2 linked regions of the Macaca fascicularis genome follow. The protein of the gene in region 1 interacts with the protein of each later gene in a pairwise test. Links are inferred from orthologs where the notes say so. Each region holds a gene or a part of one and is shown in the gene's direction. Other genes may lie near its edges. The genes, in order: GSTA4 and CIMIP5.

Region 1 (3,813 bases):
AGCCTCTAGTAAGCACCAATAACTTTCTATTTCCACGAGATCCACCTTTTTAGCTCCCACATATGAATCAGAACATTCAGTCTTTGTCTTCCTGTGTCTGGCTTATTTCACTTAACGTAATGACCTCTGTTTCTGTCCGTGTTGCTGAAAATGACAGGATTTTGTTTTTTTAATGGCTGAATAATATTCCACTATGTATGTATACATTTCTTTTTTTAAAATTTAGTTTGATGAAGAATTTCTGGAAACAAAAGAACAGTTACACAAGTTGCAGGATGGTGAGTATGAAAATGAAACAACTGCCTCTAATACTGATTTTCCTTTAAGAACTGCTGTTTATGTGGGAGGGCAAAAATATTCAATGACACTGAACATTCAGAACAGTATCCTAAAACCAAAAAAAGCAAGAGGGAATAAATAGTTGAAATTGCCAGGAAATCACTTCTTATTCAATAGTTCCATAAAAGCTGGCTGAAGGGGGTGAGTAGTTCCTTCCCCACCCAAGTGAACAGCTCTCCTCCATCCCTTTCTTCTCCCCTCTCTCCCCTCTAATCTCCTCCTCCCCCTTTCTTTCTCTCCCTTGCCCTTTCCCTCCTTCTCATCTTTCCCTACTTCCTTCATACTATCTGAGGCATCCTGGCCTGTTTGAAGTATGCAAATAAATACCCGCGATGGGGATACTTTCTGAAGTGAATACCACACAGAAGCGAAATCGACGAACTGCCCCTCCCTTCACCTTTAATTCCTGGTCAGCCCTGCTCCCTCCTTGCCCATCCATTATAGCAGGAGCCACCAGTAGACCCATAAAGAGTGCACCCATCAACCTGTGAGCAGCCTCCCTCCCAGCCAACAGCAGGGTCCTCAGGCCCAGCTGGAGGCTCCCTTGTATGGTACCAGCACTCCAGGGCTGTAAGGCCACCTTTTGTGTGCGACGGTGGCTGGAAGCCACTAGGCATGTGCTAAGTACTCCTTTCCCCTCTACCCTCACCCCTTCAGAATGCCCAAACCCTCAAGGGCCAAGCTGTACCCTATACAGGCATCTCTCCCCAGGGTTTGGTATGTGGAAAGTGTTGGATTCAGATTTGTTAAAGAAAACAATGGGTTGTTTTTTTAACTAGTGACAGCGGACTTGGTAGTAAACAATCTGTTCTGTGGCTACAGAGTAGCCACAGAGTATACATGAGCCAAAGAGTATACATGAGTCTCAGCTAGTTACTTAGGTTTCATGATCAGATTCTCTAAAAACACTGCTGTCCAGCAGAACATTCTACAGTGAAGGAAACATTGTATTCTGCACTGTCCAATATGGTAGCCACTAGGCACGTGTGACTGTTGAGTACATGAAATATGTCTAGTGCAACTGAGGAACTGAATTTTAAGTTTTAAAAATTGTAATTAATTTAAATTTAGATTTATATAGCTGCATGTAGCTTTGACTGCTGTATTGGCCTGTGTAGCACTGAAGAAATATCTTCACTACATTCCCCTTAATCCCTTATCACTGTGGATAGGTATTTTTCCTGGGGTGAAAATGAAAAGGGAACGTTTATAACAATGCTAGTTTTCAGGCTTCTTCTTTTTTTTTTTTTTTTCCCCCGAGACAGAGTCTTGATCTTTCGCCCAGGCTGGAGTACAATGGCATGATCTCGGCTCATTGCAACCTCCGCCTCCTGGGTTCAAGCAATTCTCCTGCCTCAACCTCCCAAGTAGCTGGGATAACAGGCATCAGCTACCACACCCGGCTAATTTTTTTAGTTTTAATAGAGGCGGGGTTTCATGATATTGGCCAGGCTGGTCTCGAACTCCTGACCTCATGATCCACCTGCCTCGGCCTCCCAAAGTGCTGGGATTACAGGCTTGAGCCACCGTGCCTGACCCCTTCAGGTTTCTTTTGTGGCTAAATCTGCTCTCCTGAATGAAGTTAAAGTTATCTGTCATCTGGAAGCTTTACACTATTTCCTAAGGCCATGATTCCACATTTCTTTTCATTCAACAGAGCATTTTTTAGGGGTTGGGGGACAGAGAAGAAGAGATCACTTCTAACTCTGGGCTTCCATTCTCAGGTAACCACCTGCTGTTTCAACAAGTGCCTATGGTTGAAATTGACGGGATGAAGTTGGTACAGACCCGAAGCATTCTCCACTACATAGCAGACAAGCACAATCTCTTTGGCAAGGACCTCAAGGAGAGAACCCTGTACTGTGGCCCCTCTCAAGTGTTGTCACTTGTCAGCTTACTGATGCCTTAGCTGATTAGCAGTCCTCTGCAGCACACCACATTTACTTTATGTCTTACATAGTTATGAGATCAGGGAGCAAAAACCCAAGAAGGTCACGAAGACCAGTTGGAACTTCAGTAGAGAGAGTCTGAGTAAAACAAAAGAAAATAATTGGATTCAGATGTTGAATACTATATCTAGGGTGTCATTGTTTCAGATTTCAACATTTTTAAATGCTTTGATACTGCTTTTTACCTTTCTTACACATTCACTATTGTTAAGTATTAGGAATGAGGAACTGCTGTGATGTTCAAGGCCTGGGAGAGTGACCATTAGAGACCATTAGATTATAATTTGAATTCAAAGCCTGGTCCTTGCACCCCTTAGATGTATGACCCTGGGCAACGTGGGTATAAGAATAGTACATCTCTCATAGTGTCATGTGATTTAATGAGATAATGAATGGAGAGTGTTTAGCACCATGCCTGGTACACTCTAAGCACTCAATAAATGGTATTCACTACTTTCATGAAGATGAAGTTTGACCCATACTAAGAGACCAAAACACAGATGCTGGGGTGAAGGTGGAGGAGTAGGATGCCAGGAAGAAAGCACTCGTGACTCTCAAGCTGTCTGATCTGTGACAGATTTTTGTGAGTTACAACTAGAATTGACCTTATCTCTTTGCTCTTAAGAGACAGGTATAGGTAAATGCTTCTAGGGACTTAAGTTGCCAGCATCTTAAAAAAAAAAAAAAAAAAAAAAAAAAAAAAGCACTCTGAATTCTTAGTTGTGGAAACCAATGGCTTCAAAGAGAGGAGAAACTGAGACAACTGCTCTTTTGTTTTAAGGATTGACATGTATGTGGAGGGGACGCTGGATCTGCTGGAACTGCTTATCATGCATCCTTTCTTAAAACCAGATGATCAACAAAAGGAAGTGGTTAACATGGCCCAGAAGGCTATAATTAGATACTTTCCTGTGTTTGAAAAGGTAGGTGGCAGAGATGCCTGTGTACACAGAGTAACCAAACCACAAAGAAGCTGCCACAAACACCCTTTTCTGTCCAAGCATTTTAAAACTGAGCCCAGTTGGACTAACCTAAGAGCTAATGGACTCCTAAGAGCTAATAGTAGCCACAGCACAAAGCTGGTGTCTTAGAGCCCCTCAGACTCTGCTAGGACCACATGATTCAGGAGTCTAGAAAAAGTATGGGCTCCCTGCCTGTGTCCCTTATTGTTCCTTGCATTCACCAAGTTCCCACCTTGTGTGGATACAGCAGAAACTTCAGAAGATACAGAAAACAGAAACTGCCTCATTCATTCATTCAACAAACAGTTGTTGAACAGCTATCTCATAGCTGACATCCTCCCTGATAATTTGATATGAGGAGAAGAACATTTCCATTTTATTTGTCTTCCCTTTGCTCTTTTTGTTTTTGGTTTTGTTGTTTTTCTCTTCTTGTTATATCTGCTTTTCTGAGCTTCCAATTCTTTATTCCTGAACTGGGAGGAGTATTTTTAGTGTTTCAGTGCAAACACTAAATAAGAGGATGTGAAAATATGGGAAGCCCTATCTGGCAAGCTTCCTCTGAC
Region 2 (4,562 bases), on another chromosome or scaffold:
GCTCATCTTTACCAGGAAAATTTAAGTCACTAGATGCCAGCCTGTGTCATCCCAGCTCTGAGGGGAGGGACAGAGGACAGACAGAGTCCCAGGCTTGCAGCTCTGATTCTAGACTAATGTTTTCCCAAAAGGTCACACCCTTCAGCTCCATCCTCACGCAAGTGTGGGAAGACAAAGCTGGCAGCTCTTTCTGGCCTGGCTCTCAGCCCTGTCTTCTCCACGCCAGCCCTCCACCTGAGCCCGGTAGGGGCTTCATTGCCATTGCTTACCCACACCATGGCAATGGCGACCTCACCTGTTTCTTACCCCTTTCCTGATGGTTCTGTTCCCTGCAGTTCCGTTGGGGCTCACAGCCCATCAGTATCTCCCCACTGGGTACAGGATACAGTGGAAAACACCCCGGGGCCTGCCCCCATGTGCCCTGCCACCCCCGTCCTTGTCTCCTCCCACACATCTCCCAAAATGCCAGGCTCTCTCTTGCATCCAAGCTTTTGTGGTCACCCCAGTTTTTCTACCTGGCAAGTCCTTTCACCTGTGAAGTCCCAACTCCTTGCTGCCTCCCTCACAGAAGCAGAATCCAGCAGGGGCACACAGGACTGGCCACAGTGCCCTGTGGTTCACTGGCTGCCCTGCTGCCCTGCACCCCAGGCACTCTGCCCAGGCCTCTATTCATCAGGGTTTTGTCTGCACTTAGCTCTTCCTGTACAACGATAGGAAGCAGCGGCCCAGCTGAATGGACGCACAGAGAAGCTGCGTGGAAGGAACTGTGAATCTGCCAGCACCTACCGGAACGGCACGAAACCCAGAGAACGGGAAGCAGAGAGTGCAGGAGGCAGAAGTGATGAGAGCAGCGGGCATCCCTGGAGCTCAGCTGAGCCAGACCAGGAGAGGCTGCCACGGAGGGAGCCTGGCTGCACCCAGTTAGAACAGAAACAGGGCTGAGGGCTCGGACCGTGAGCCCTCAGGTTCTCCCTGTTCCCTTCAGCTGGTGACTGTGTGACCGTGGGCGGTCACTTAATCTTGCCGGTAAGGGCCTCAGTTTCCTCATCTGTAGAATGGCGTTGGAAAGGCATGGCTGGGAGGTCTCAGACATAAAGCAGAGTGCTGTGTGAACGCTCCGGGTTTACAGACAGAGCGGATGTTCCTAGTGCATTGCACTCATTTTCCCTCGCCCCACAGAAGCTCATGACCTCCGCCATTGTTCCCAAACAAGCAGGAAGCTTCACACTGATGCCTGATCCACAATTCCCAGAGCGCCCTCAGGGCCACCATCTCGTGCAAGCCTCGCAGCATCCACGAGGGGGCAGCACAGGACTATCATCGCCCCACGGCCTGAAGGCGGCTGCCGGAAGCCAAGTGCGACAATGGTGGGGGTGGCCCCCAGGAGCCCCGGCTTCGCTCCCTCCTCCTCCCCTACCCTGCTCGGAGGACTCCGGCCTCGGGGTAGGGGGCTGCTGAACTGGGCGTGGCATCTACTCAAGAACTCTCTGCCCCCCAGCCCTAGGGCTCAGATCACAAACACACACACACACACACACACACACACACACACACACACACACACGCACACACCCGCACGCACACACGGGGCCCGCCTCTTTCCTGGGAGCTGCCCGTTCCCAGGACAACAGTCAACACAGGCGGGAGTTCAAAACAAAACTGGGCTCAAATGCTCTCCCCATCGGCCACTCTGAGCTCGAGGCCTAAAGCCACAGTGAGGAGGACCCTGCCCAGGCTGTCCCGGGGTTAGGAGGGAGAGAGTGTTCCAGGAGGAGGTTTGAGCTGAGCTCAGGCACAGGAGTCTCTCTCTCTCTCTCTCTCTCTCACACACACACACACACACACACACACACACACACACTTGCACCCATGGGGAGCCACCCCACCCCTGGGCTCCAGAGAACCACATCACCTGGGCACCGATTGTCCCCCACCAGGCCGCCAACCTCTGTCTCCCCAGCTGCCCGGATTGGCCCTATGGCCAGCAAGGGTCTTGCTGGTGGCGGTCAGGCCCCCCAGGCTCTGAAGGCGCAGCGGGTGGCCCAGGGAGCTGCCTGCGGTGGCGGCGTGCAGCAGGACCAGCTGTGGCGGGAGCTCCTGGAGGCCGAGCGTCGGGGCCAGCGGCGCTGGTGAGTGCCTGCCCTCCCTTCTCCACCCTGACCCCCGCAACCTGACTACAAGTTGGGGAAACTTTTGGAGAAAGGGAGATGGCTGGGCAGCTGATCCGGGCTGAGGGACAGAGAGCATGGCATGCCCGGGGGGAGGCGGGTCACCGGCCCAGCCCAGAGCCAGACCCGAGCCTGAGCTTAGGAAGCCAGGAAGATGGAGGCCAGGATCAGATGCGGCTGGGTCCGAGCAGCCCCGCCTCCCTGGAGCAGGAGCCTGCTGGCCTAGTCTGGGTGAGAGGCGCTGGCCATCTGACCTGACTCTGGGAAAGATGCTCCTTCATGCCTTCATTCAACCAAAAATCCCCATGAGCCGCTCTGAAAGGAGACCAGATGCAACAAGGGACTGACCTGGCCATGGCTCCACGGAGCCTTCATACTCCGGACAGGGCAGCCAAAAAGCAAGCAGAAAAGCAAACAAGTACAAATCTGTAAGAAATGTGACCAGCGGTAAGAAGGAAACAACAGTTCAGGGTTAGGGGGAGAGCCGGCTGAAGGCCTCTCTGAGGAGACTTTTAAGCTGAGACATGAAACAGGAGAAGGAGCCAAGAGTTTGACGTATCTAAAAAAACAAAACAAAGAATTCGTGTAGCTGAGGCACAGGGAGTGAGGAAGGCCACAGGATAAGGGGGAGCAGCCGGGGGGGGGGGGGGGGGGCCACCCCAGCCCTCGTAAAAGTCTGGATGCATTTTTTCCAAAGGAGACACCATCCAGGATTTTAAGCAAGTACATGGCATGGTCTTTAAGCAAGAACACAGCATTTTTAAATGAGCAGCCTGATAGATTCTAGGAAGCGCTCATCTTGCACCGCTGAAACTTCATACCCGTGGATTAGCAACGCCCCATTCCCCCTCCTCCCAGCCTCTGGCACCCACCATTCTAGTCTTTACTCCCAGGAGTGTATTTTCAGTGCCTCATAGAAGTGGAATTGTGCAATATTTGACTTTCCATGTCCGTCTTGTTAGCTTAGCATCCTGTCCTCCGGATTCATCCATCTTGTCGCGTATTACAGAATTTCCTCCCATTCTAAGGCTGAATGTGTATATGTGCAGTTTCTTTATTCATTTGTCAATGGACTTTACGTTGCTTCCACATTTGACTGTTATATGTATTGCTACAATGGACATGGGAGTGGTTTCAATTCTTTTGGATGAATTCTCAAAAATGGATGTCTTAGTCCATTTTGCATTGCTGTCAAGGAACACCTGAGGCTGGGTAATTTATAAATAAGTTTATTTGGCTCACCGTTCTGCAGGCCGTACAAGCATAGTCTTGGAATCCACTTGGCTTCTGGTGAGGGTCTCGGGAAGCTTACAATAATGGCAGAAGGTGAAGGAGGAGCAGGCGTGTTGCATGGTAAGAGAGGGACCCAGAGAGAGAGGGGGAGGTTTCAGGCTCTTTTTAACAACCAGCTCTCTCCTGTGAACTAATAGCGCAAGAGCTCATTCATTACCGCAAGGAAGGCACCAAGCCGGTCACGACCCAAACACCTCCCACTGGGCCCTACCTTCAACACTCGGGATCACATTTCAATATAAGATTTGGAGAGCACAAACACTCAAACCATATTGGAGGGATTGCAGGATTATATGCTACCTCTATTTTTAATTTTTTGAGGAACCTCCATTGTCTTTTCCATAGCAGTGGCACCATTTTGCATTCCCATCAGCAGTATCTCAGCATTCCAGTTTCTCCACACAATGGCCAACACTCATTGATTGTCTTTTGGTTTTTGATAACAACCATCCTAATAGGTGTGAGGTGGTATCTCATTGTGATTTTTTGTTTTGTTTCGTTTTGAGATGAAGTCTCCCTCTGTCGCCCAGGCTGGAGTACGGTGGCGTGATCTCGGCTCACTCCAACCTCTGCCTCCCAGGTTCAAGCAATTCTCCTGCCTCAGCCTCCCAAGTAGCTAGGATGACAGATGCCCTCCACTACTCCTGGCTAATTTTTGTATTTTTATTAGAGACAGGTTTTTACCATGTTGGCCAGGCTGGTCTTTTTTTTTTTTTTTTTTTTTTTTTTTGAGACGGAGTCTTGCTCTGTCACCCATGCTGGAGTGCAGTGGTGCGATCTCAGCTCACTGCAAGCTCCGGCCAGGCTGGTCTTGAACTCCTGACAGCAGATGATCCACACGCCTCAGCCTCCCAAAGTGTTGGGACTACAGGTATGAGCCACCGTGTTTGACCTCTGTGGTTTTGATTTGCATTTCTCTGATGATGAGTGACATTGATAATCTTTTCATATATTTATTGGCCATTTATTTATCTTCTTTGGAGAAATGTCTGTTCAAGTCTTTAACCCATTTTTTCAATTGGGTTATTTGGTTTTGTGCTACTAAGTTGTAGAAGTTCCTTATACATTTTGGAAATTAACTCCTTATCAGAAATATGATCT

What was found.
Region 2: the proteins of GSTA4 (region 1) and CIMIP5 interact in binary tests that used the Homo sapiens proteins (3 or more experiments, as listed by UniProt). The two-hybrid records come from large-scale screens. The link is inferred for Macaca fascicularis from reciprocal best matches to the Homo sapiens genes GSTA4 and CIMIP5.

What each region holds. Positions count from the first base shown.
Region 1 is NC_088378.1:118,790,156-118,793,968, forward strand, and holds part of GSTA4 (glutathione S-transferase A4), read left to right. Parts: exon of another isoform or gene 1-226; coding exon 227-278; intron 279-2,063; coding exon 2,064-2,196; intron 2,197-3,069; coding exon 3,070-3,211; intron 3,212-3,813. UniProt on the Homo sapiens protein: Conjugation of reduced glutathione to a wide number of exogenous and endogenous hydrophobic electrophiles. This isozyme has a high catalytic efficiency with 4-hydroxyalkenals such as 4-hydroxynonenal (4-HNE).
Region 2 is NC_088387.1:110,968,570-110,973,131, reverse strand, and holds the start of CIMIP5 (ciliary microtubule inner protein 5), read left to right. Parts: upstream 1-1,683; 5' UTR 1,684-1,869; coding exon 1,870-2,129; intron 2,130-3,420; exon of another isoform or gene 3,421-3,521; intron 3,522-4,562.